7 linked regions of the Rattus norvegicus genome follow. The protein of the gene in region 6 purifies or fractionates together with the protein of the main gene of each other region. This does not show direct contact. Links are inferred from orthologs where the notes say so. Each region holds a gene or a part of one and is shown on either strand. Other genes may lie near its edges.

Region 1 (3,500 bases), on a different chromosome or scaffold from region 6:
CACTCCTCATAGCCCTTCAGCACACCTTTCCCTCAGATACCAGCTTGGTCACGTTCCTCAGATCCTGACTCCAGCCACCCTTTATCTCCAGTCAGCTGGTTAAAGCTAGTCCAGTCACCCTTTATCTCCAGTCAGCTGGTTAAAGCTAGAACCTGCTAAAACTTTTCTTGATTTTACTTTGAATTTTACACTTATCATTTAAAGTATTTCCCGTATTTACTGCAGAGCCTCCCCGCTGGAGTATAGGCTCCTTTAGGGCAGGAGTTTTTGTCTGTGAGTTCTTGGATGGAGCTGCAGTACATAAACTGTGGTGCAAATTGCTCAATAAACTGACATAACTTACGTGAGAGCACTGTGCTTAACACTAACCCAGGGGCTCATACTCATTACCTCAAGTAGTCCTCACAATGGCTCCATCCCCATTTTAGTTCAAGTCAAAATGGGTTAGCAAAGTGACCTCCCGACTAAGAACAGAGAAGTGAGATGTCACTTTTCCCCCAATAGGGAACGGAAAGTGGAGTTGGTCCTCTTACTCCAAGGGTACCCTACAGCAGAGAGGTCTGCACAAGATGAGAGTCAGAGAACAAGAACAAGGCCCCCCCGTGCTCACCTCACCACTTTAGAGTCCTTGCAGGCAATGTGCAACTGAAACATATCACGGCTTTCCACACTGTCAATCATACGGAGGGGCACCTGCAGAGGAAGAGCAAAGTGAGGTCCAGGGGCCCCCAGCCTGAGAGGTGTCGAGCCAATGAAGGGAAGGAAGCCAGCATCTACTGAGGGTCTGCTAGGGCATGGTGACCCTACCGGGTGCTTCCCATGTCACCAGTTAATACCATAAGAATCCTGAAGGCAGGAGATTTTATTCAATAAGGAGGACATCATCACTTGTCCAAGGTAACACAGAGTGACAGTGCAAGAAAAAGGGTCACATCTGCCTGGCTCTTCTAATAGATAATGCCACTGTGGCTCAAAGGTTAGGAGCACTGGCTGCTCTTGCAGAGGATCTAGGTTTAGTTCCCAGCACCCACATGCTTGTCACAACCTCTTGTAACTTCAGTTTAGTCATCTGGTCTCCTCAGGCAAAGGCACGAATATGGTACATAGACAGACAGACAGATAGACACTAACAAACATACAATCAGAATAAACAAGCTAGGCAGGGGTTCACACACCTTTAGTTCCAGCACTGGGGAGACAGAGGTAGGTAAATCTCTGAGTTTGAGGCCAGCCTGGTCTACAGGGGGGAGTGCCAGGACAACCAAGGCTACACAGAGAAACCCTGTCCTAAGAGACAGGTAAACCTGTACACAGAGGAATGAGATAAGAAATACCGAGGCCAATGGGAAGGGAATCCCAACTATTTTTCAAGTCATAATCTGGTCAAGCACTGGAACAATACCACTTTGAAGTACATGAGGACTTTGACTTTGGTGTGAGGAAAATAAGACAAGAACTTACGTTGATGACAGAGTCTTTGAACTTGATATGCAGCCGGTAGTTGGAGATTGCAATGAGGGCATCAGCTGCCCGGCCCAGGAATTCCACTCCCTCACCCTGTAGCACTGTGAAGGGTACCTGAAAAAGGTCAGAGAAGCCCTCAGCCCACAAGACAGTCTCTCCCTTGTTTTTCTCTGCAGCCCTGTTCTTTAGCAGACCCTGAGGAAAAGGGAGATGATGCAGGAGTCAAGTCAGGACGCTGGTCATCTGCTGTCCAGGAAAACTGCCTCTCCCCTTCCCTAAGGCCAAAGGCACATAATGCACAGACTGACGAACACAGGAGCCCACTCCCTTCAGAGGCCCAGGAGGAAGCCGGGGCTCTGGTATATCCTCTAAAGATTTGAAAGTCTGGAACACAAACTGGGCAGGAAGCCCCTCCCACCATGAGCATCCTGTTCCTCCTTACCTGAAGATTTTCCTCCTCCTTCACCAGTTCCTTGGGGGGGAACAGATCCTTGGCTTGGATGTACTCCAGGCTGGGGGGGCCCTCCTCACCCTGCAGGGAGGCCATAACCTTGAGTTTGCCACCCGACCTGGCTCCTCTCACTCTCCTCCTCTACCAACAAACCCACCAACACCTTCCTTTGTGTTTAACGATTCTGGCTCCTAGAGGAGGGAAGGAAGACCTGGCTTGGCAGGAGAAAGGGTGAAATAAAGTGGTACTCAGGGAAAAGTGAGCTAAGCCAAGAAGGAACTGAGAATTTGCTCCATTTAAAGAGACTTCTCCTTTGAACCAAAACTGCAAAAACCCAAGGAAGGAAGGGAACTAAGAAAGACTCCTATCAGAATAAGACAAGAGCAGGACTGGGAAAGAGACACCTGAGGCACAGGAGCCAGCTGTGGTAGCTGGATAGAGAGAAAGGAAATCAGGCCCTTCTAGCCTCTCGAGCATCAACCTGGTGGGTGGAGACAAAGAGGAGGAGGTTGGGGGGATTCGGTCCCATGCCTCTAGAGGGCCTTTGTGAATGCCTTCAAAAAGGAAGACGTGTTTTGGAGCTGAGCTGATCTTCCCATTGGGCTCTCGATGCTGATAAGCCCCCACTACCTGTCAAGCAACCTGCCCCGCCTGCTGATCTGAGGGGAATTCCTAAGGAATACCCATAGCTAGCTGAAGTCACTCTGCTCCCAAACACCAAGAGAGAAGAAAAGAGAGAATCCATGCTCAGGGAGGAAGCAGGAGACCCAAGGACAGCCAGGGGAGAGAGAAGGCCTGGCAGACACCTACGGGGGAGGGGGGGGCACGACATCTGAGAGGACAGATGGGGGAAGCTGGGAAGGAGCATTAGCCAGGGGGAGGAGGGGAAGACTGGGGATGATTCAGAGATACAGAACCCTGCAGAGGCAAGGAAGATGGAGAAAAGAGGCTGTCTGGGGGACAGTCAAGGAGAAAAGACTGGTATGTCAGGTGAACGATGGAGTATGTGTGGGAGAGGGGACTGGAGACCTAGAGACAGCTCACAAACATCTAAGCTTCTCTTTCAGCCCCATAACATCCCACACAGCCTACTAGGCACATCCTACATCCCCAAGCAAGGATATGGCGGGTGGGACCAAGATGGAGAGGAGGAGGTAATGGGATGTACCCCTGCAGGGCGGGGCCTGGAAATCTGCAGTCAAGGGCAGTGACTGCAGAGTCAGAAAGAATCACAGAATTTGCATCCCCAGTACCCGCTTTCTTGAAGCAAGTCAGAGAAAAGAGCTAACCCACTTCCCCTGTCCCTAAGGTTTGGGGTCATGCCGGGGTCTTTGGGCAGGACTGTGGGTACAGCGTGCGTTGGGTGCTCCCCCAACCCCCGCCCCAGGCCCTGGCAGGACAGGCCTGGCACTTACGAAGCAGCTAAGCATGGAGCAGGAGACGCGGGCGGTCAGGCTCATGGTCGCGGGCTGTCTGGACCAGCGCACATGTCCCGGGAGCCGCTGCGCTGCCCGCCAGCCCCGGACGCCCGCTGCATCCCGGCTGCGGGGCCCGCCTGATGCAGCTGCGGCCAGAAGCGAGCACC
Region 2 (3,500 bases), on a different chromosome or scaffold from region 6:
GATGTGGACATCCGCCAGAGCACAGGAAACTTACCAGTGGCCACAGCTAAAAAGGAACCATTCTCCCTCAGGTTTTGTGTGTCAACTTAAGACAAGCTAGAGTCATCAGAGAGGAAGGAGCATCAGTTAAGGAAATGCCTCCATGAGATCCAACTGTAAGGCATTTTCCCAATTAGTGGAGGAGGGCCCAGCCCATAGTAGGTGGCGCAATCCCAGGGCTGCTGGTCCTGGTTTCTGTAAGAAACCAGACTGAGCAAGACAAGATGAGCAGGCCAGTAAGCAGCACTCCTCTGTATCAGCTCCTGCCTCCAGGTTCCATCCCTGTTTGAGTTCCTATCTCGACTTCCTCCATTAATGGACTGTGATCTGGAAGTATAAGCCAAATAACACCCCCCCCCAATTGATTTTTGGTCATAGTGTTTTGTCGCAGCAATAGATGGAATGAAAACGTCGTCTTTCAGCATGAAAATGCTGTCTTTCAGCATGTAGAACTGAAAGAGATTCACAGAAATGGCTTCTGAACATTTAAGAACTTGTGTGTTGAAAAAGTATAATAAAATCAAAATGTAGATTTAAATGGAAAAAGTTATACTGTGTCTATCATAAAAGAGTACTGCTTCAGTCAGAGCTCGTAACAAAGCCAGAAAAGCAAATCTTCCTCCCAACTTTAAACTGAGCAAAGATAAACACAGACCACATAAAACAAAATTTCACGGAGGGACCAAATTTAATAGCTAAGAAGCAAAAATTAAAATATGGCTTCAAGGTTAGGGGCTGGCTTGTCAGCTAAAGTCCTTGCATCACACATATGAGGACCAGAGCTGGGATCCCCAGAACCCACATAAAAACTGAGTGGGTGTGGTGGCCACATGCAATCCCAAGGCCCAGGAGGGAGAGGCAGGGCAAGCTGACCAGCCAGATTGGTCCCAACCAAAGCTCGGGTGCAGCAAACCTGACTTCAGTACTAGGTGGAGACCAGTCACAGAAGATACTCTGTGTCAACCCTAGGCCTCCACACACGTGCAATACACGTATGTATGTGTGTTCTCTGTCTCTCTCTGTGTCTCTCTCTGTGTCTCTCTCTGTGTCTCTGTGGGTCTCTCTGTGTCTCTCTCTGTGTCTCTGTGGGTCTCTCTGTGTCTCTCTGTGTCTCTGTCTCTCTCTCTCTCTCTCTCTGTCACACACACACACACACACACACACACACACACACACAGTTTCAAATGATTTCGTCTATTAAATCAGGAAAATAAACATTGTACTTCACACTAACATCCTTTGCTACACCAGGAAGTGGAGAATGCAGAACCCCACAGGGTAGTGTGGCCACTGGGAAGCAACAGGAAGTTCGAGGGCACACACTGGACGTTCATCAGGAACTCGTGATGCCAGTGAAGCCCGTCCAGGCGTACGCACGACAGTGCTCATCAGTTTATGTCTCAGGATTAAAATCCTAAGGGATCATTACAGAGTCCAATGGAGACATCGTGTTAGCCAGGCTGATGATGCAGGCCTGTGATCCCTGTCACAAGCCTGGCAGCAGGAGGAGGACTGTAAGCTTCGGGCCAGCCTGGGATACTGAGTGAATGCCAGACTGACCTAGGCAACTGGATGAGACTCTATCAAAAATCAAAGTAGAGACCCAGGGCTCAGGCTGAGAAATAAAGTGTTTATCAGTGTATATAAGGCTCTGGGTCCAATCCTCAATACCACCAAAAACAATAAAAAATATGGAATGTTTACACATTTTTCTCATTAAAGTGATTTTAAAACTTATAACCGGATGATACTGATAACAGATTTGTAAAATAAAACATGACAAATGCAATAGCTACAAAAGTAGTTATGAAGAAACTATATTCTAACGAACGACTGTTAGCGCTGGGGGGCTGATTCAATGGTAAACCTCACTGAAGCACGAGGACCTGGGCTCAGATCAACAGCACCCAGATAAAAGGCAGAGCACTGCAGCACAGGTCTCAAGCCCTGGCACTTGAGTGGGATACACATGAGGGCACCTTGCAGCTCACTGGCAAGCCAGCCTCGCTGACTGACAAATTCCAAATTGAACGACAGACCCTGAACCAAAAATAACGTGAGGAACAGAGGAAGACCCTTCAGTTGGCCTCCACATTCATTCACACGCACACACATACACCTGCACGAATGCACCCCACTCAAACATAAGCAGACTCTGAACGCTCAAGAAACAAAGTCAGTCAGTCAGTCAGTCAGACAATTTTACAGCTTGGAAGACATTAATAAAGTCTTCTAGTCTTCATTAATTCAAAGAAGAACTTCATTAAGACAAGGAATACAATGACCATGTCCCTAATCCAACTGGAGTCTTAGTAAGAGAATAAGTACATGTATACAGACATGCACAGACAAACGGACACACAGAGACAAATGTACAAACACAGACAAACGACAAGAGGAACTACAGAATCCGGCCATAAAGGGCTTCTTCCCCTTGCTCTATTCTGTGTTCTCAGAAGTCTCTCTACCGTTTGCACAGCAGCTTGAAAAGCAAGCACCCTTACCTTAATAAAACCCCAGATCCCTCCAGCAGGTGCGTCATCCTGGCCTCTGCTAATTCTAGGATCTTCTTGCTCCTCTGGGAAAGTAATGGCTGATGTGGTTCCAGGTCCCTGTGCCAGCGATGTCATACTGGCTTGCTGAGTAATGGGGGCTGGCAAAATACCTAGTCAATGGCAAAAAATTTAGTTGTGTAATTTATTCCACAAATGTTTTCCTATAAAAAGATGCAGCATGCGAGAATCTCAAACCGAATTCAATAATAGAATCACGTAAGCACCTAAAAGGAGGTTATTAACTGAAAGTTTTATAAAAATAAATGTAAAAAACCCCTTAAAAGGTGTTTCCCCTTTTACATAGGTTTACAGAGCATCCTAAAAAACAACAAATCTAAGCACACATATACACACATATAGGGGGTGTGTGTGTGTGTGTGTGTGTGAGTGCCTATTCAACATTTAGATGACTGGTGTATTTCTACTCTCCTTAATCCAAACAAAGAATTGAATTGAGCACTCAAGTCCCTCTTAAAAAATAATAATAATCATACATATGTATGTATGTATGTATGTATGTATGTATGTATGTATGTATACTGTGTATATATAATCCATACACTCCCGAAAGAAAATACCCGTTGGGGCTAGAGAGAGGGTTCTCAGCTAATAGCACTGGCTGCTCCTGCACCCACACTAGATGGCTTCACAACCATCTGTAACTCCAACTGCAGAAGATCCAACAGCTTTTCTGGCCTCTGAAGGCATCTGTATGCATAAGGTGGCCATACATATACTCAGGCGCGTGCATACACACACACATACACACACACACACACACACACACACACACACACACACACACAGAGAGATAACCACATAATTCTTATGCTCCAGAATACATTTTATCTGTAAAGGCAGATAAGCCAAATTGGATACTAAATAATCAAAGCTAAATTACTCCTC
Region 3 (3,500 bases), on a different chromosome or scaffold from region 6:
ATATAGCAATATAATTTACATATTAAATAAAACACCATATAGGGTGGTTTAAACAAAAGAAAAAAATGGGGTGGGGATTGCAGGTTAGAAAAACTCTTCTTCCTGAACATTTTTTGTTTTGTTTTTTAAGACAGGGTTTTCTCTGTGTAGCCCTGGCTGTCCTGTAACTCCTTCTGTAGATCAGGCCGGTCTCAAACTCAGAGATTTGCCTGGCCTGCCTCTGCCTCCTCAGGGCTGAGACTAAAGGTATGTGCCACCGTCACCTGGCTTTTTTTTCTACCTGGGTGAATGCAACAATCTACTCACTGACCAGCGATGTTTAGTTTCTATTGGGTTAATGGTTCATAAAATTAAAAAAACAAAGACCAACTTTTCATCATCACTGTCTCAAAGGAATAACACATGGATTCATTTGGAAAGTAAAAATGGTTCTTCGAATATGAATATCAGTACAAAGGAAGAGTTAACACATCTACCACAAAATCCAAAACAGAACAACAAAAAACTTACAGTAGGGTTGAAACTGAAAAATACAAGTCTTATATCTGCTTCCTAACTCATGTATCCTTTTGCTTAAACTTTGTCCTTTCTTATTACCTAATAGTACCTTTTCTTGGTCTCTTTTCTAAATTTTTAGACTTTACTTTCTAGAATAGAAAGAATCCAGGGCTTCATGTACGTAAGGCAAGCATCAGCTTCTACCTCCGGGCCCTACTCTGTCTGAGTTCCTGTCCTGACTTCCTCTGAGGAGTAATAGCAATATGGAAGTGTAAGTCAAATAAACCCTTCCTTCCGTATTTGCTTTTTGGTAATGGAATTTTGTCACAACAATAGTAACCCTAACTAAGACACCAGGCCTGCATGTGATGTACGTAATACATACATATATACGAGCACAATAGGCATACCTAAAAAAAAAAAATCATAAAAAGAAGAAGAGCCACTCCTTGGGTAAAGGTGCGCGTTGCCAAGCCTGGAGAAAAGGCTTGCAATGCTCTTCTAACCTCCACTGTTTGCTGTGGCCCACACAGCCCATACAGACACAATATACACAAATTAAATTAAATAAATAAAACGATCTTTAGTAAGACTTTGTCTCTTTACTTACCATGCATTATAATGTCTGGGATTTACTCTTATAGCATTTCGAAAACATGCTAATGCTTTATCTAGTTCTTCAGTTAACACAAATTCATGTCCTAATAGAGTATAGGCATAAGCATAATTTGGATCCACCTGGATAGCTCTTTGGAAGAATTTAATTGCTATATCATGCTCCCGTTGTAGACTGAAACAATTCCCTGCAGCACACCAAGCCTGACAAAACAGAAACAAGAACTAGTCAGTTAAAAGTTTTTATGCTCTATAAAGAAAACTATCGTCAAAAGTAACTTACAATTTTAATTTAATTTTGACCTAAAAAACTGTGTGTGGTGTGAGTGTGGATCCTTGCTTTCCAGCTTGTTTGAGTCAGGGTCTGTGTTGTCTGTGGTGTGCAGCAGGCTAGCTGCCTGCAAGCTTGCCAGGGTTTGCCTGTCTCTGCTTCCCATCTCCTCCCTGTAGAGGTGCTGGTATCCAGCAGTTTAACCACACTATGCCTGGCGTTTATGTGGGTTCTGGAGATTCAAATTCAGGTTCTCATGTTAGCACAACCATTGTTACCCATTAAGCCATTTCTCTGACCAAATTTTTATTTTACTTTTTAACAAAACCAATCCTGTGACAAAATCAAGTCTCAGATTTTATTTACAGGACAAAACCCTGAAGAAATTCAAATTTTTGACTATGATTTTCTCTTTTTAAAAACTCTTACTCATACACAAATTCCACATGTGCAGGTTAGAGCAGAGTGTTTTTCTTTGATAGAGTTTCTCTGTGTAATCTTGTCTGTCCTGGAACTCACTTAGTAGACACCAGGATGGCTTTGAACTTGGAGATCTATTTGCCTGCCTTTGCCTCTTGAGTGTGGGATTAAAAGCATGTGGCATCACAATTGGCTTAGGAGAATGGTTTCAGGGAGCTGGTTTTCTCCTATCACTATGTGTTCTGGAAATAGGACTCAGGGCGCCAGTGTGCACAGCAAATTTTCACCGGCAGAGCCATCTCCCTAGCACCTATTGAAGCTATCTTACTGGCCATGTTTTTTTTTTTTTTTAATTTTCTTAAAGATGATATAATATCAGTATTTAATAATATTAGTATTTAATCTGTCCTCCTGTGAATTTGTACACTTGTGAAGTTTACAGAGGCCAGAAGAGAACAGCAATTTGAATCCAGGTTTGCGTGCACTTCACTAAAGTATCACTAAAAACCATCTGAGTGGCTGTGATTCCGGCTGTGGGAATGAGAGGTTCAAAAGTTAAAGAACAGCCTAGGGAAAACAGCAAGGTCCTGACACCAGGGACGAACAAAGACCTTCAAATAAATGTCCTGAAATACTTACTACAAGATTAGTACATATGAATCAATCTATGTCTGTCTTCAAATGGCAATTAAGGGCCAGCAAAACGACTCAGTGGGTAAGAGGGCTTGCTGCCAAGCCTGATGACCTGGAGTTGAATCCTTGGAGTCCACATTATTTAAAGAAAAATGGACTCTCAAATGTTGTCTCCTAAAATCCAAATATACTCACTATGGCATGTATGTGCTCCCACACACAAAATCTGGTTGGATTTTTTGAAGGTTGAAGTTCTGTTTGGCTGTCTGGACAGGCCTTCCAAGAACTGAGTGACAACCAAGAGTCACCAAGCATGGCTTTTTGGCATGTGTGAGAAGAGTCTTTCTGAAACAACCTCATGAAGTCCAGAGTTAGTAACAAACTAGCTGTGTAGTGAATAACTCAATTGTTTTGTAATTATATCTTATGACACTTTGCAAAAATGACAAAAAATTACCTAACAATGCACTTGCCAGAATGTATCATTACGTGATACAGGACTATATTTGTTCTGGTGATCAAAAGCTATGTTGGGGTCAAAGATTATGTGCCTAGCATACCTACAGTGCTGGGTTCCAGACCAGCACTGCACCCAAAAATTAAACGAGTAAAACAGACTGCTGTTAGCATACCTCTGGTGAATTCTTATCCATGTCTGTTAAATCTTTTGAAAGAACCGAAAGAGCAACATCTTTCTGAAGATGCCAGAGTGTTGTAGAGTAGATCTCCATACCCTCAACTCTGAAACTCTCAATCCTTCTAACTTCTGAGAATATTCTTTCAGCCTAAAATTAAAGAACTAGTGAGTGAACTGTACAGACAGACAGACTAGTGCAGGTTATTGTCGTCACAGGACCAAATTTCTGCAAGGACTGTGCTTTATGGGAATCAGTATGGAGAGAAATCACTGTGAGAGGTCAAATACTGAGGCATTAGCCTAGTTCCTGTATTTTAACTAGGGATAAAGATGTAAAGTCTGAAAAAAAATTTCTATTAAAAAAAAAAAAAAACAAAAAAAAAGACAAAGATGGGGCTGGAGCAATGGCTGCCCGACAGAGGACCT
Region 4 (3,500 bases), on a different chromosome or scaffold from region 6:
CGTAGTGCTAGGGATGGAACATACACATCAAACAGCATAGACAACATATAGCATATTCTACACTGAAATACATCACCAGTCTTTTTAAAAATATGGCATTTTTTGACTGTTTATAAAGTCAAGAGTGGTTCTATATGTATGAGGAACCTGACATTCTATTCTATTTTATGTAACATTTTTTAGTTTTTGATATTGTAATAACATAATTTCCCCTTCTCAGTACTTTTGATAAACACTCCTATACAGCACTGCTTCCTCCAAATTCACAGCTTCGTTTTGTGTTGTATCCATGCGTGTTCCTAAATATGTAAGTATAACCTGTTCAGTCTACGTTACATACATACATGCATACATGCATGCATACATACAAATGGTTTTAGGGCTCACCACATTAGCATGTCTATTGGTGCTGTCCCTGTTTAGGACATGTTTAGGCAGTCATGATGGTGAGACTTCATGGATGTTGGTTCTAGGACAATACACCAGACTCCCTGTTCCTCAGGCACATCCCTTTTTTTTTTCTGAGACAGAGTCTTTGTCTTAAGTCATAGTTCTACTGCTATTAAGAAACACCAAGGTAATAGCAACTCTTACAGAAGAAAACATTCTGTTAGGGCCTGCTTACAGTTTCAGGGGGTTAGTCTGTTACCATCATGGTGGTGCGAATGGTGAGGAAGCAGTTCACCTGATCAGCAGGCCTGGGAGAGAGACTAGGCCTGGCACAGGCTTTTGAACCTCCATCAAGACCACAACTCCTAATCCTGGTTCATTCAAAGAACCCCACTCCCTATGACTATGCATTCAAATATATGAGCCAATGAGGGCCATTCTTACTCAACCACAACAGCCTTACTAGGTAGCTCAGTGCTTGAATTCATGATCCTCCTGCCTCTACCTCCCAAGTACTAGGATGTAGAGCATAAGCTCCTACATTTGATTTACACTGTTCCTTTTGTTTAAAAAATGTTTCTACAAGTGAATAGCAAAGTGTTCATTTGTAACTGTTAAAAGAGCCTTTTTAAACAACAAAAGCCGGCAGCACAATTGGAGCTGTGTATTATTCCGAGAAGTACCTGACAGTGGTGTCTTTCCTACTTGAAGTGCAATTGGTGAGAACGTAGGTGAACAGATAGCCGATGGGCTGGTGGTTAAGCTTCCCAAACTGTACTTTTTTGCATTGTTCTGAATGGGGCTGGAAGAAAACTGTCCCTGTGATACAAAATAAAATTAAAAAATAAAAATCAAGCCAGCAATTGGTGAATATATTTAATTTCTTTGTCGTGGTTATGCGGCATGTTCTTTGTCGTCTTCACAACATGTTTATAAACTCGGAGTCCACAAAAACCAACAACAAAAGGCACCATGGGGCTGCTAAAGAATTCTTGAAATAAGATTTCAACACAAATGAGTTGGGTTTAAACAAGTCATTCACTGCATTTCATAGCAAGTAGTTGTCTATGAAAATACCTCTAATTTACTCCATCAATGCTAATCCAGTTGTCATACGGCTACTCTCTTGTTAATTCAGTAAGTAACCCAGGCTGCGATTCTTTGAGATAATTTGCTCACCTATCTACCTCTAAATACAGAGCTGGAGTCTGCTGGGATCACACATACAAACTGAGAAGATTCCCAGGATACGTAATGCCAAGGGGAACATTCCTGATGTGATTTGAGTATTCACTCGAAGCACATCTATGACACACTAACCAGCCACATCTTATGGCACACGGTGTCTGCACAGGGTTGCTAGAGTGCAAAGGAGACAAATCCATTGGAGAAAACACCTCAAGAGATCCTCGGGCACTGTTGGGAGGACTTCTGGGAGAAGCTGAAGGTAAGGAGTCGGAGATGCTCCCATTCACGTCTAAAAAGAGCTTTCTCCTGAGAGACGAAGAACTGAGGTTCCCGGGAGATTGGTCCACAGAGTCATCCGCTCTAAAGTAGTCTCCTATATTCACCAATAACAGAAGGAAAGCTGGTCATTGGAAGAAGAAACCACACTTACAGCAACTCATTTTTAAAAAAGTCATAAAACAGGTTTGAATTTTTTTCAATACATGTGAATAATGCTTAAAATGATATTTATTTTTTGAGTGTTTCATTCTTTATTTGCTGTTTTTATTGTTTTGAGTCAGGGCCTTACTATGGAACCCAGTCTGGTCTTGAACTTGTAGCAATCCACCTGTCTCAGCCTGCTGACTGCCAGGAGTGTGCCACCATGCCCGACTTGTTATCAGTGTTGTACCAGCACCATTTAAATGTTTATCATTTGCTGCCCACAGTAAAGGTCACCATAATAAAAACACCAACTCAGGTCACATTCAAGAAACAGAAAAACTTTAGGACAGTTTCCTGTTTAATGACAAGACCCCCATTCACAAAAAGCCAACAAAATGAAAACCTCTGACCTAGTTATGAAATACTCAAGTCATACAGCATTTACCTAATACGGCTTCCAAATTAAAATCCACAGGAAGAGACAACAGAGTCTGGCAGGCAGCTGAAAAGAAGCAAAGACATTGGAAGTGTGTGAGGGCCAGGGTATGTGTGGCGCATAGCCCGCCAACCAGCCTTCTCCTCAGCAGGCTCGGAGGAGAGCCAGACTGCTGGTGCGCTCTACTCCTGCCCCACCACCTTCTGCTTCATTTCCCACAGCTTCCTGATCGGAGCTAACGGCATTAGTCAGCCCGGTCTGAGACTGACCTGGAACTGAACAAGACACCAGCAGACACTAGGATTCTCATATGAACACATCATCTACATTTTCTTTAAATCTTTCCCAAACCAGAAATCAATTCACAATTCACATATTTTACATAAGAAAGCAACACATGATTGCTATTTTTCTAAAGCGTGGCTGAATACAATCTGTTCAACATATCGGTTTTTAAAAGTCAGTTCTTTTACAGCTCAATCACAAAACAATGTCCTAATTTGAAATGAACGGTACGATTCGAACTCTGTTTATATTAATGCAGCTTACTATGCAACACGCTCCTTTCCAGACACCGCTCATACCCACCATTGCATTTCTGAGAAGGGAGACTCGGCTTTTTCCCAACAGGAGAGTCACCATTGCTAGTTAGGCCTGCAAAATATTTTAATTAGAAAAATCATAATTTTATATTTAATTCAGTGTTACATTTTCTAGAATAAAACGCTATATATCAGTTTTTCATATTTTAAGGATAAATACTTAAACTTATAATTTTGGTATGTTTCTGTTGGGTTACTTAACAAAGAAAAATAAAAGGTTACCACACCAATAAGAAGGTATCATGTAATTACTAGTTTTCATGACAGATAATTATATGTGGTTTTGGTACAAAATTAATGTTTTGATACATATATACATTGCTGAATGAGCACATAAGGCCAATATATCTCATAAAATCTGTGCCATTTAATTTTCCTAAAATGGATTTAGAGAAACTCAATTAAAATATTAGATTATTTTGACAAAAAGAAGAAACCCTGAACTGTGATGAATAAAACTC
Region 5 (3,500 bases), on a different chromosome or scaffold from region 6:
TGCTGAGCTCGGAGCAGAATGGAAATTGTACAAAGATCATCTCAAAAGGGGCCAAAGACTTTGATGTGAGGCCCGAAGGCTTGAAACTTAAAGATACAGGCGCTGTTTTCTGAAGAAAACTCCAATGGCTCAGGAAGTCATACCAAGAACTGATAAGCGGCACCGCATGAAACAAAGACCCAAAGGAAACAAATGCTGCAAACCAGTGGTTCTCAACCTTCCTAACGCTGTGACCTTTAACACAGCTTCCTCATGGTGTGGTGACAACCCAACCATAAAATTACTTTGTTGCTACTTTGTAACTGCAATCTTGCTATTATGAATCGTAACGTATCTGATATGCAGGGGGACCTGATAGGAGAGCCCAATGGGGGTGCCGACCCACAGGTTGAGAACCATCAGAACCACCGTTGAAGAGGAAGCCCACAGAATGGCAGAGAATCTTTGCGGGCTGCAGAATGGACAGGTAGTTAACAATATGCAGCACATATAAAAGGCCCGTGTACAAGTGTGGTCTCATAGCCAGGACACTGAGTCAAAGGTCAGAGCCAGTAAACTCAGTGGGGTTTAAAACAAAGACAGGGGAGGGGGGTTGAAGAGGAGAAGGGGGAGGGGTTGAGAGAGTTGAGAGTCATGGGGTTAAAAAAAAAATGACCTAAATTCAATATATTCATGTTTGAAATTATCAAGGAATACTTTTTGTCAAAGCTTGGCAGGGTTTAGTGACAAACGAATTAACATTAAAAAACAAAACAAAAACCCCTAAAGCCAGAAAAAAAAAAAAATCACTGAAATATTTGCAATTCAATTAAAGCAGACTTGGAGAAAATCCAGATAAAACTCGCCCGTGCTGTCCGTATCCACGTGTGTGAACTTACTTACTCCTGTTACTAGAAATAGGGTCGGCAGCAAATATATTTCTCTAGCATTTCTGCTTACATTCCTTTAAACGTGGATGCTAAAAATTTAAAAGCAAAACGAAGGCCAGCTCTTCCTCTCCGGGGCAAGCAGGGCATTCAATCTTGCACACACCCTACCGTGAGCAAGTGCTTTAACTCCATGGTGTTCCTCACAGTCCGAGTGATGTTTAAGCTTCCCCCTTCTAGAACGCGTAAGATCTAATTTAACATGCCTGCAAGTGCACTGTATACACCACATACATGGCGGCCATCTGGCCGGAAGCCAAGAGGGCACTGGGTTCCCCGGTGTATGTGTGTGAGAGTGGGGGTGGGGGATGGGTGAGAGCGGGGCAGGGGATGTGAGCAAACCTCTCATCGTCCATCTCCAAGCTGGACTCGCTCTCGGAGAGCTGGCGACACAGGGCTTCCCTTCTCTCCATCTCCCTCTGGAGCTTCCGCTGCAGACGCAGGTTCTCTTCCCTCATGTGCCGCTCCTCCTCCAAGTACTGGGCCATCTTCTCCGAATCTGGAAAGACAGAGCCTGCGATTAAACTGTGTTTCGCGCAGTCATCACCCCACATTGGGGTGGCCTTGTCCTACCACGTGAGACCGAGGTTTAAAATTTAGCCTGAGCATCAAGGTTTATAAGTTACATTCAGTTATGGATAATCTAACGGGCAGGGCACCCATTCACAGGACAGCGGCTCCACAGGGGCTCCAGGGCCCACACAGGAAACGGGGCTGGAGCGTTTCACTGACTACCTTGTAAGACTCCCTTCTCCACTGTGGGGGCTGAGAGAAAGCAAGAACAGTTAGGGAGATAGATTGCCCACTGGTTTCCCTCTAGGCCGCCTGTCCACTCTAAACAGGCCACGGGGGGGGGGTTGTCACCCCATTAGCACATCTACCATGCACAGCGGGGCAACTCTGAGATCAGTGTGTCAGCAGAATACACTCAGTTACGGATAAGTCTTGTAAAACAGAACTTTACACAGTGAGCAAAACCTCTTTCCCTCACCGACTGTACATAAGCCGTGTGTGTGTGTGTGTGTGTGTGTGTGTGTGTGTGTGTGTGTGTGTGTGTGAGAGAGAGAGAGAGAGAGAGAGAGAGAGAGAGGGAGAGGGAGAGAGGGAGAGAGGGAGAGAGAGGGAGAGAGAGGGAGAGAGAGGGAGAGAGAGGGAGAGAGAGGGAGAGAGAGGGAGAGAGAGGGAGAGGGAGAGGGAGAGGGAGAGAGAGAGAGAGAGAGAGAGAGAGAGAGAGAGAGAACACAACCTCTGGGAATGGCTTCCATCACTTGGGCTCTGGGGATCAAACTCAGGTCGCCTCTACTCACTGAGCCATCCTGCCTGCCCAATGACTTCTGATGACATTGACACTAATGTACAATGCCCAGGGAGGCAGGCGGACTTCCGATCCTTCGAGCTGACAGGACAGCGGTTGGGAACTGAAGGGAGATCCTCCGTGTGAGCACTGAAATAGACTTAACCACTGGACTGTCTCTTCAACCCGAACTCTGTTTTGGAAATTAAAATGCTCGGATTATCGGACCCTACTATGTAGACGAAATACTAAACCTCTTGGCTGGGTTGAATGCAGCCTGAGACCGCGCTGCCTAATCCACATGCAAGGTCTTCTTAATTGAAGCGACGGGGGTGGGGATGCACACAAAGCTCGCTTTTAATATGAACAGCTTAAATTAAGTCTCCCCAAGTGTGCCTGTGTGCATGGGTGCTCATCGGGCTCAGGAGGAAGCACCCGGTGGCTCTGGGCATACCTACTGTTGACCAGTCAGCGGCTACAGCAAGAGTCCCCAGAACCGAAGATCCCAAAGGCTCCGCATTGTATTTTCAGAGAAAACTGCAGTTCAAACTGCACATGGGACACCTGCCTATGTTCCCAGCACCTGTGAGACCCTGTCTCCAACAAAGATACACTGTAACAAAAATACATCATCAGCTATGATAACTTCCGGATAAGATGTCAGGCCAGGTAGAACTGTCAACGTATCACTCTAACCCAGATACACCAGAACCCCAGTGCACCTACAGTGTCCCGACCCAAGCATAGGAGGCTGGCACCAAGGCCTCCCTTGGGCGCCCTCTGCTGGTACACTGTGACCCTTCTCTCTAACAGCTCCTCAGAGATCTCATCACTCTTATATTCTGCTACCTCCCGAAATTTAAGCAAAGGTGCCATCCGTAAGGGTGGCATCAAACCAGCTTCAGGTGACCTCTCACAAGCAGGCTGTTCCCTATCCTCTTCCCAGGTACAGACCACATGGGGACTGAGACCCACGGCCGACTGAAAAGCTCAACAGGGAACTCCTAAGAGGTTCCAGTCGGGGCTGGAGGCTGAGGAGCTGTCACAGATACACCCGTAGAGGAGCAGGCCACCTGAGACATGAAGCTGGAGACCCACGGACGACAGGACGAATCATTAACACAGCTTCCTCAACCTATAGGTAGAGACCTCTTTAGGGGTTGAATGATCCTTTCACAGGGTCATTGAAGACTGTCAGAAAACATGTGTTTCCGCTAAGATTCACAACAGTAGCAAACTTACAGTTATGAAGTAGCAGCGAAAAGAATTTATCCGGGTGT
Region 6 (3,500 bases):
CTGCTCTACCTTCCAAGAGCTGAGATTACAGGCATGTGCCTGCCACCAGGCTGGCTTTCTGGTGTACTAGCAAGCACTCTACCAGAGCCCCGTGCCCAGCCCATGTCTTTAGACTTCCTGAGGGGGATGTAAAGAGCAGGGGGAGAGGGGGCAAACACTCTTACACCTGGAACACGCACCATCTCCATCCAGCTGTGCTGCGCCTAACAAAGGAGTTGGTCTTACTCTCATGAACCAGGCTCTGCGTCTGCAAAGTGGGAGTTTCCCCAAGAGCTTCCCAATGACAGAGCAGCATCCCTTTTCACATCCAGTGTCATAAATCCACTTGCAGGGATAGCTCATTTCTGGGGACTGGTTCTCATAGGCACTTTAAAGTCAGCATCCTTGACTTGTACATAGAGAAGATGTCACAGAAGGTCAGCTCACTGCAGACAGCATGGACTGCTGTGGTATAATTGGTCCTGGCTTTCTTACTGAGGCAATGTGTATTCTCAGACAGGGCACTCCTGTTTCCTCATCTATAAGTGAGGCCTAATAGTGGAGATGTACACACCTGTAGTCCTAGCACTTGGAAGGCTGAGGCAGGAGGATTGCAAGTTCCAGATAGCCTTAGCTATATAGTGAGACCCTGTTTCCTTTCTAATTATATAGAGAGGGAAAGGGAGGAGAGAATCTTTTAGGTGTTTTTGTGAGGGCCAAATGGGTACTGTACAGGAGTGCATAAGCAAGAATTAATGCTGTGAGGGACAGGCCCGTGTTAGGTTTTTTCTCATTAAGTCATCCTGGAGGGGTTCCCCATTTTATAGGTCTGCCTTGTTAGGCTTCAGAAAGCCCAGGTTATTTGTTATAGGTGGAATCAAGGGGGTGGAACTAGGCAGGTCTTGGGACCTGGGTGCCCTCTTGTAGATAACTTAATGTCCTTTGAAAGGGCAAGGGGTGGGTATCCCAGGTTAATCTTGAGTGCCAAGTGGCAAGAAATGATCCTTCTTATCAATATTGCTAAGGCTGGGTGGAGGACTTGGTGGAACTCAGGGCCACTGAGCAGTGGTATGTTATACACAGGAGCAGCCGCATGCTGGCTAGGGTCCCTGTCTCCTCTCATTTCGGCTCTGCCTCTCCATTCCAGCACATCAACCCAGTGGCTGCCTCCCTCATCCAGAAAATGCTTCAGACAGACCCCACTGCCCGCCCCACCATTCACGAGTTGCTCAATGACGAGTTCTTCACTTCCGGCTACATCCCCGCCCGTCTGCCTATTACCTGCCTCACCATCCCACCAAGGTTTTCAATAGCTCCCAGCAGCCTAGACCCCAGCAACAGGAAGCCTCTCACAGTCCTTAATAAAGGTAAGATCAGTCCGGGCAGAAGAGAGCCCAGGTTTCCGGGGTACATTTCAGGGTGTGTGTGCCTTACTGCCTCATCCCTCCCCTGGGCCCTTCTGCCCTCCGCCCTTGGCAGGAAAAACCAACTGAATCAACCTATGTAAAGAGTACCTAAGATCTCCCTTGCACAGTTTGGAGAAAGCTGGAAGTTTTCTGGTGCATACATGGAGCATGCCGTGGTACCTATCCTCAGTTCTCATTCTCAGCATGCCCAACCCTGGTCACTCCAAGCACCCTTTGTTCTCTGAGTGTTTGTGCTTTGTCAAGAAAAGGTCTTTCTGTCACCCAGGCTGCTCTTGAAATCAGTCCTCCTGTCTAGGGCCCTGCTGACTACAGAATTGCAGGTTTGTATCAGCTCATCTCACTTTGGAAAAGTCGAGACAGCCAACTCCAGGAGTCTGCCATTTTACTCTTGTACTAAAGTATGCATCTTTCCTCAAAACTCCAGCATCCCTTGCCCCTGCTTGGATAGCTTTTGTGTCTAGAGCTCTTTAGAGATCAGAGTCTTTCTGATTCATATTCTAATATTCATCATTGTCCACACTTATAAAAAGGTAGAGGGACAAATGCTCTCCCAGTCTGCTTACATTCTGTTGATGCATCATCAGCCCTATGTGTTTCTTTAACTGCTTGAGAGCGAGCTTTCCTCGAGGAAAGCGTCTGCGCGCTGTGACAGACACCAGCATCAGCTTCAGGACTGAGCATTCATCTCACAGTGCTGTAAAGGTTCTTTTTTTCTTGTTCTTTTCTCTCTTTTTGTTTTGTTTCCTTTTTTTTTCCTTTTTGGAAACAAGGCTTCACTATATAACCCAGGCTGGCCTCCAACTCAGGAGATCCACCTGCCTCTGCCTTCCAAGTGCTAAGAGCAAAGGTGTGAGTGAGCCACCTTGCCTGGCAGCAGTGTTTGCTTTTCTGTTTTTTACTGTCCCTCCCTCCTCCTCTTTTTTTGAGACAGACTATCACCATGCTGACTCGGGTTTGAAATCCCCCTGCCTTACCCTCCACAGTGCTGGGCTTGGGACTGTGCCACTGTATTCATCATCATCATCATCATCATCATCATCATCATGTAGTCTTATTTTTTTGATTTATTTATTTATTTTATGTATGTGAGTACACTGTCAGACACACCAGAAGGGGGCATCAGATCCCATTACAGATGGTTGTGAGTCACCATGTGGGTGCTGGGAATTGAACTCAGGACCCCTGGAAGAGCAGTCAGGTTCTTAACTGCTGAGCCGTCTCTCCAGCCCATGTAGTCTTATTTCTCGTTAATATATTTTATTAAGAGCTATGGTCTTTGAGAGGTAGCTTGTAGGCTTTGTTCTCTGTGGAGTTAGTTATAAAACTAGTGTTTAGTATAAAATTCTCAGTGCATCTGTTTCGGTTAGATTTCCATTTTTAGGCAAGAGGCTAGGGTGGCTTAGTTTTGTTTTTGGTGCTTTGAGACAGGTGCTGGGATTTCAAATGAGTGCTTCATACCTGACTCAATTACTTGGTTTATTTTGCAGTAATGCTAGGGTTATACAAAAGTTTAAAAGACAAAATAAAGCTAAATTCCTGTGTACCCTCCACCCAGCTTCTTCCACAGTCAGCATCTCTCTTTAAGCATAGCAGAATTACCAAAACTGAAGTGTTAGCTACAAGATAATCCTGTCAACAAAGCCCAGGCCCCACATCGATCAACCAGATTTCCCATTACATCACCAGAATACAAGTCAGTACCTCACGGGCCAGTTAGTGACCTTGGCTCCCTAGTTTCCTCCAGCCTGTGACAGTCTCTGAGTTTTTCCTTTTGTCTTGTGACCTTGATTGACACTTTTGGCACTGATGAGTTGATTTCCATTGGATTTGATGCTTCCTCAGGATTGCACTGAGGTTCTGCATTCTGAGCAAGAATGCTGTGAAGGGTTTGCTCTTTTCAGTGTCAGGGAGACAAGGCTGTCTCTGCTGCAGACACTGTTGCCTTGGTAACTAATAAGAATCTTGCAGGAAGGTGTTTGAAACTGTAGGAGTTCATCTAATTGTTGCCCACCGGTTTTAGTGGTAGCCATTACTGTAATTTTTATTTTTTTCCCTTTTTGAGACAGCGTTTCATGTGGCCCAAGCTGCTTGGAT
Region 7 (3,230 bases), on a different chromosome or scaffold from region 6:
TTCTAGATCTATCCATAGTGCTAGCTACTAAATTCTAAAGATGTAGTCAGTGGAGTCAGGTAAGTCAGAGACAATGGAGAGAATGTGTAGGAATGTCATCCAAGACCAGAACCAAGCGATACATGCTGATACATGAATGCCTGTGAATCCAGCACTTGAGAGGCTAAGGAAGAAGACTGTAAAAACATTCAGCTGGAGCTATACAGTGATTTCCAGGTCAACTTGAGCTGTAGTGTAAAAACTCTACAAACACATAAACAAAAAGACAGTAAGCAAAAGGGCAGTAAGTTAAATATACAGCAAATCATCATGTGTGGAATGTGCATACACAAAGGTGAAGTATAGAAAGCAAAGAGTGAAAGATGAACTTCATCCTTAAGTTGTAGGGCAATAGATGGTCTTAGAGATTGCCATGATATGACAGGTGGTTGAGAAGGTAAGTGAGAATTGAAGCATTAATTAGGAGCTCCAGAGATAGAGATCGCAAGCCAAACAATCTTCAGGTGAGGGATTGTATGACAGGATGCTGGCATCAAGAAAGATGCACTTCTACAACATCCATTCACTGACTTAACATACAATCCAGGCAACTATAATACACCAGACACTGCAAAATGACACAGTATAAAGCATGTAGCCTACTAGGGAGACACATTAAAAAGGTATTACTGAGAGTGCCATGATAAAGTCGGATCCATCTAAGAAGCAAAGCTTAAGTAATGGTATCAGACTCTGTTTTTGTTTTTTATATGTATTTCCCTCTTTAGAACTGAAACATCATCCTCTCTTCAGTGAAGTGGACTGGGAGAATCTGCAGCATCAGACTATGCCTTTCGTGCCCCAACCAGACAACGAAACAGATACATCCTACTTTGAAGCCAGGAACAATGCTCAGCATCTGACCATATCTGGGTTCAGTCTGTAGCACATGCATGCCATTTCTATCTAACTTGTGATATAGAATTTTAACACTAGATTCATCTACACGGAATAAGTCATTATTGTACCGAGGCTAAACAGTTTTAATGAGTACAACAGCTTTTACAGAGTTAAAATACTGTAAAAAATATAAACAGTAATCTCTACCTTAGAACTGTACATAAGGCATCATGGCTTTTTTCATCTTATTTATTCACTGCACTTTATGAAGAGCAATGTCTCAATAAACTAAAACAGCACTACCACTCTAAACAGAGGGGATGAACCATAAGCTTGTATGTATCTGTTGATGTTAGTTCTGTTCACTTTGGTGTTTATTTGCACATGGTTACATCCTAAGCTGTTCTCGGGGCTGTCATATGAGACAAACATGACTGAAAATCGTTTGACCCAGACATCGTGGTGGAAGTTCCCATATTCAAGAGCAGATGTAACACAGGATTATGACTGCAATTTGAAGACTCAGGCCAGCCAGGACTGTATTTCTCATCAGTATGTCTCTGCTGAGGGTGAACTAGTCAAAAGAATTAAGGTTCTAACTCATCTTACTTATGATGGAATCTCACTGCCTTGAATGCTCTTGGTGCTTCCCTCTACAATTCCTGCTTGTTTAAACGGGTAGTGGAAAGGCTGGGTGTGATACTTTAAGTGATTTTAATAGCTTCTTCACTTTTAATAGAAAAATTTATACTTTACATCAGATCCTTTCAAACACTGCGAGAGACAAATAGTAACAATTATAATTACTTGTAACTGTAACTAGTGACTTCAGTATTGGTCTTTTCAAGTATGTACTAAGACTCAGGTCAAAAGTCTTATCTCAAACTAATTGAGGCTTTTGATATTTCCCTAGAAGAGCAAAATTAAGACGTACGTGTACCATAGGGAAGGTTTTTGCTAATGCCTGCTTGCATACTGACTTTAGTGCTTCCACTGCCACCCAGTCACAGCCCAGATAGAATACAGTTTGCAAAGATGCATAATCAGTGCTGGGTATAGAGTCCTTACTGTACTTATTTTAGTAAAGACTACTTAGTGTTCCAGTTACCTTTTTTACTAAAAATATTCAAATATATTTACAGCTTCCTTTACTAAGACTCACTTTCAGGTGACAGCATAATTCTACAGTCTGTTTACTCTATCATCCTCTTAGAGTGTTTTCAAGATTAGAAAGAAACCTTTAGAATCAAAAAAATACCTAAATGACTGCTACTAAACTGAAATGATGTGGGCAGGTTAAAAGTGAGCATGAAGATGCTGGAGGGAGCAAATGCTTAGTGTGCCAAGGACCCCGTGTTCAATCCCCACCATACACAAACAGTAATTGAGGAATTAGGATAAGCAGAGCCACATTAATAAACCTGAGGTTCACAAGTCATGGCTTACCAGAGCACTGGACCCCAGCTATGGGTATTGTTAAAAGTGAGTCTGCAGAAGCAAGCCCCTAGTGGCTTCTTAAATTAAATCATTGGACAATTGGTTATAGTAAAATTAAATTCTGCTGTGGATCCTTGAGAGTTCCTGGCTTGCCTGGGTGGGGCCACATGAATATATCACTGGAATAGGAAAGTCTGTAAATGGATGGCTGAATAAACAGGGAAACATATGTAAGTATGCAGAAGAGAAGGATGGGAAGACACTATAGTTTTTGTAAAATGCTTTTTTCTACTTTCCCTGTTTTCACAGAGTGAATCATAAACACTTTGCACATTTATGTTTCATTTTCTTTTACTTGTATGTACAGAATATGATTTTAAAAAATTATTTCTCCTTTCAAGATTATTTAACCTATGTTCTAGCAGTGTTGTTTCTTTTATTGTGTGACTGAGTGAGAATGGCTCCCATAGACTCACATTTGAATACTTGGTCCCTGTTTGATGGAACTGTTTGGGAGGGATTAGGTGTGTCACTGGAGGTGAGCACTCAAGTTTCAAAAGGCTCAAGTCACTCTCAGCATGCTCTTTTAGTTTTTCAAGAAGGGTTTCTTTGTGTAGCTCTGCTTCTCCTATAGACCAGATTGGCCTCAAACTCAGAGATCTGCCTGCCTCTGAGTCTAGAGTGCTGCAAATAATATTGTGCACCATCCCTGCCTGACAAGTTTTTGTTTGTTTTTTAATGTGCAATGTGTTAGGTATTATGCCTGGATGTGTATATTTGTGAAGGTGTCAAAACTCCTGAAGCTGGATACAGACAATCGTGAGCTGCCTTGTGGATGCTATTAATTGAACCCAGGTCCTCTGGAGGAATAATAGCCAGTGCTCTTAACCACTGAGACATCTCAATAGCCCCTA

Evidence for each region.
Region 1: the proteins of Plk1 (region 6) and Mtmr4 purify together in Homo sapiens (affinity purification with mass spectrometry; 3 studies listed by BioGRID, with this or other methods). This does not show direct contact. The link is inferred for Rattus norvegicus from reciprocal best matches to the Homo sapiens genes PLK1 and MTMR4.
Region 2: the proteins of Plk1 (region 6) and Prrc1 purify together in Homo sapiens (affinity purification with mass spectrometry; 3 studies listed by BioGRID and IntAct, counting the BioPlex papers as one, with this or other methods). This does not show direct contact. The link is inferred for Rattus norvegicus from reciprocal best matches to the Homo sapiens genes PLK1 and PRRC1.
Region 3: the proteins of Plk1 (region 6) and Cdc27 purify together in Homo sapiens (affinity purification with mass spectrometry; 4 studies listed by BioGRID and IntAct, with this or other methods). This does not show direct contact. The link is inferred for Rattus norvegicus from reciprocal best matches to the Homo sapiens genes PLK1 and CDC27.
Region 4: the proteins of Plk1 (region 6) and Bora purify together in Homo sapiens (affinity purification with mass spectrometry; 12 studies listed by BioGRID and IntAct, counting the BioPlex papers as one, with this or other methods). This does not show direct contact. The link is inferred for Rattus norvegicus from reciprocal best matches to the Homo sapiens genes PLK1 and BORA.
Region 5: the proteins of Plk1 (region 6) and Ccdc6 purify together in Homo sapiens (affinity purification with mass spectrometry; 3 studies listed by BioGRID and IntAct, with this or other methods). This does not show direct contact. The link is inferred for Rattus norvegicus from reciprocal best matches to the Homo sapiens genes PLK1 and CCDC6.
Region 7: the proteins of Plk1 (region 6) and Mastl purify together in Homo sapiens (affinity purification with mass spectrometry; 3 studies listed by BioGRID and IntAct, with this or other methods). This does not show direct contact. The link is inferred for Rattus norvegicus from reciprocal best matches to the Homo sapiens genes PLK1 and MASTL.

The regions. Positions count from the first base shown.
Region 1 is NC_086028.1:72,893,665-72,897,164, reverse strand, and holds part of Mtmr4 (myotubularin-related protein 4), read right to left. Parts: intron 1,997-3,500; coding exon 1,907-1,996; intron 1,579-1,906; coding exon 1,462-1,578; intron 694-1,461; coding exon 611-693; intron 1-610. UniProt on the Homo sapiens protein: Lipid phosphatase that specifically dephosphorylates the D-3 position of phosphatidylinositol 3-phosphate and phosphatidylinositol 3,5-bisphosphate, generating phosphatidylinositol and phosphatidylinositol 5-phosphate.
Region 2 is NC_086036.1:53,024,123-53,027,622, reverse strand, and holds part of Prrc1 (protein PRRC1), read right to left. Parts: intron 2,705-3,500; coding exon 2,544-2,704; intron 1-2,543. UniProt on the Homo sapiens protein: May act as a regulator of the protein kinase A (PKA) activity during embryonic development.
Region 3 is NC_086028.1:89,911,771-89,915,270, forward strand, and holds part of Cdc27 (cell division cycle protein 27 homolog), read right to left. Parts: intron 3,223-3,500; coding exon 3,070-3,222; intron 1,318-3,069; coding exon 1,109-1,317; intron 1-1,108. UniProt on the Homo sapiens protein: Component of the anaphase promoting complex/cyclosome (APC/C), a cell cycle-regulated E3 ubiquitin ligase that controls progression through mitosis and the G1 phase of the cell cycle.
Region 4 is NC_086033.1:82,219,220-82,222,719, reverse strand, and holds part of Bora (protein aurora borealis), read right to left. Parts: intron 3,092-3,500; coding exon 3,026-3,091; intron 2,504-3,025; coding exon 2,447-2,503; intron 1,952-2,446; coding exon 1,788-1,951; exon of another isoform or gene 1,720-1,787; coding exon of another isoform or gene 1,711-1,719; intron 1,210-1,710; coding exon 1,074-1,209; intron 1-1,073. UniProt on the Homo sapiens protein: Required for the activation of AURKA at the onset of mitosis.
Region 5 is NC_086038.1:18,447,228-18,450,727, forward strand, and holds part of Ccdc6 (coiled-coil domain containing 6), read right to left. Parts: intron 1,426-3,500; coding exon 1,269-1,425; intron 1-1,268.
Region 6 is NC_086019.1:186,150,658-186,154,157, forward strand, and holds part of Plk1 (serine/threonine-protein kinase PLK1), read left to right. Parts: intron 1-1,126; coding exon 1,127-1,346; intron 1,347-2,457; exon of another isoform or gene 2,458-3,500. UniProt on the Homo sapiens protein: Serine/threonine-protein kinase that performs several important functions throughout M phase of the cell cycle, including the regulation of centrosome maturation and spindle assembly, the removal of cohesins from chromosome arms, the inactivation of anaphase-promoting complex/cyclosome (APC/C) inhibitors, and the regulation of mitotic exit and cytokinesis.
Region 7 is NC_086035.1:90,158,092-90,161,321, reverse strand, and holds the end of Mastl (serine/threonine-protein kinase greatwall), read left to right. Parts: intron 1-767; coding exon 768-925; 3' UTR 926-2,730; downstream 2,731-3,230. UniProt on the Homo sapiens protein: Serine/threonine kinase that plays a key role in M phase by acting as a regulator of mitosis entry and maintenance.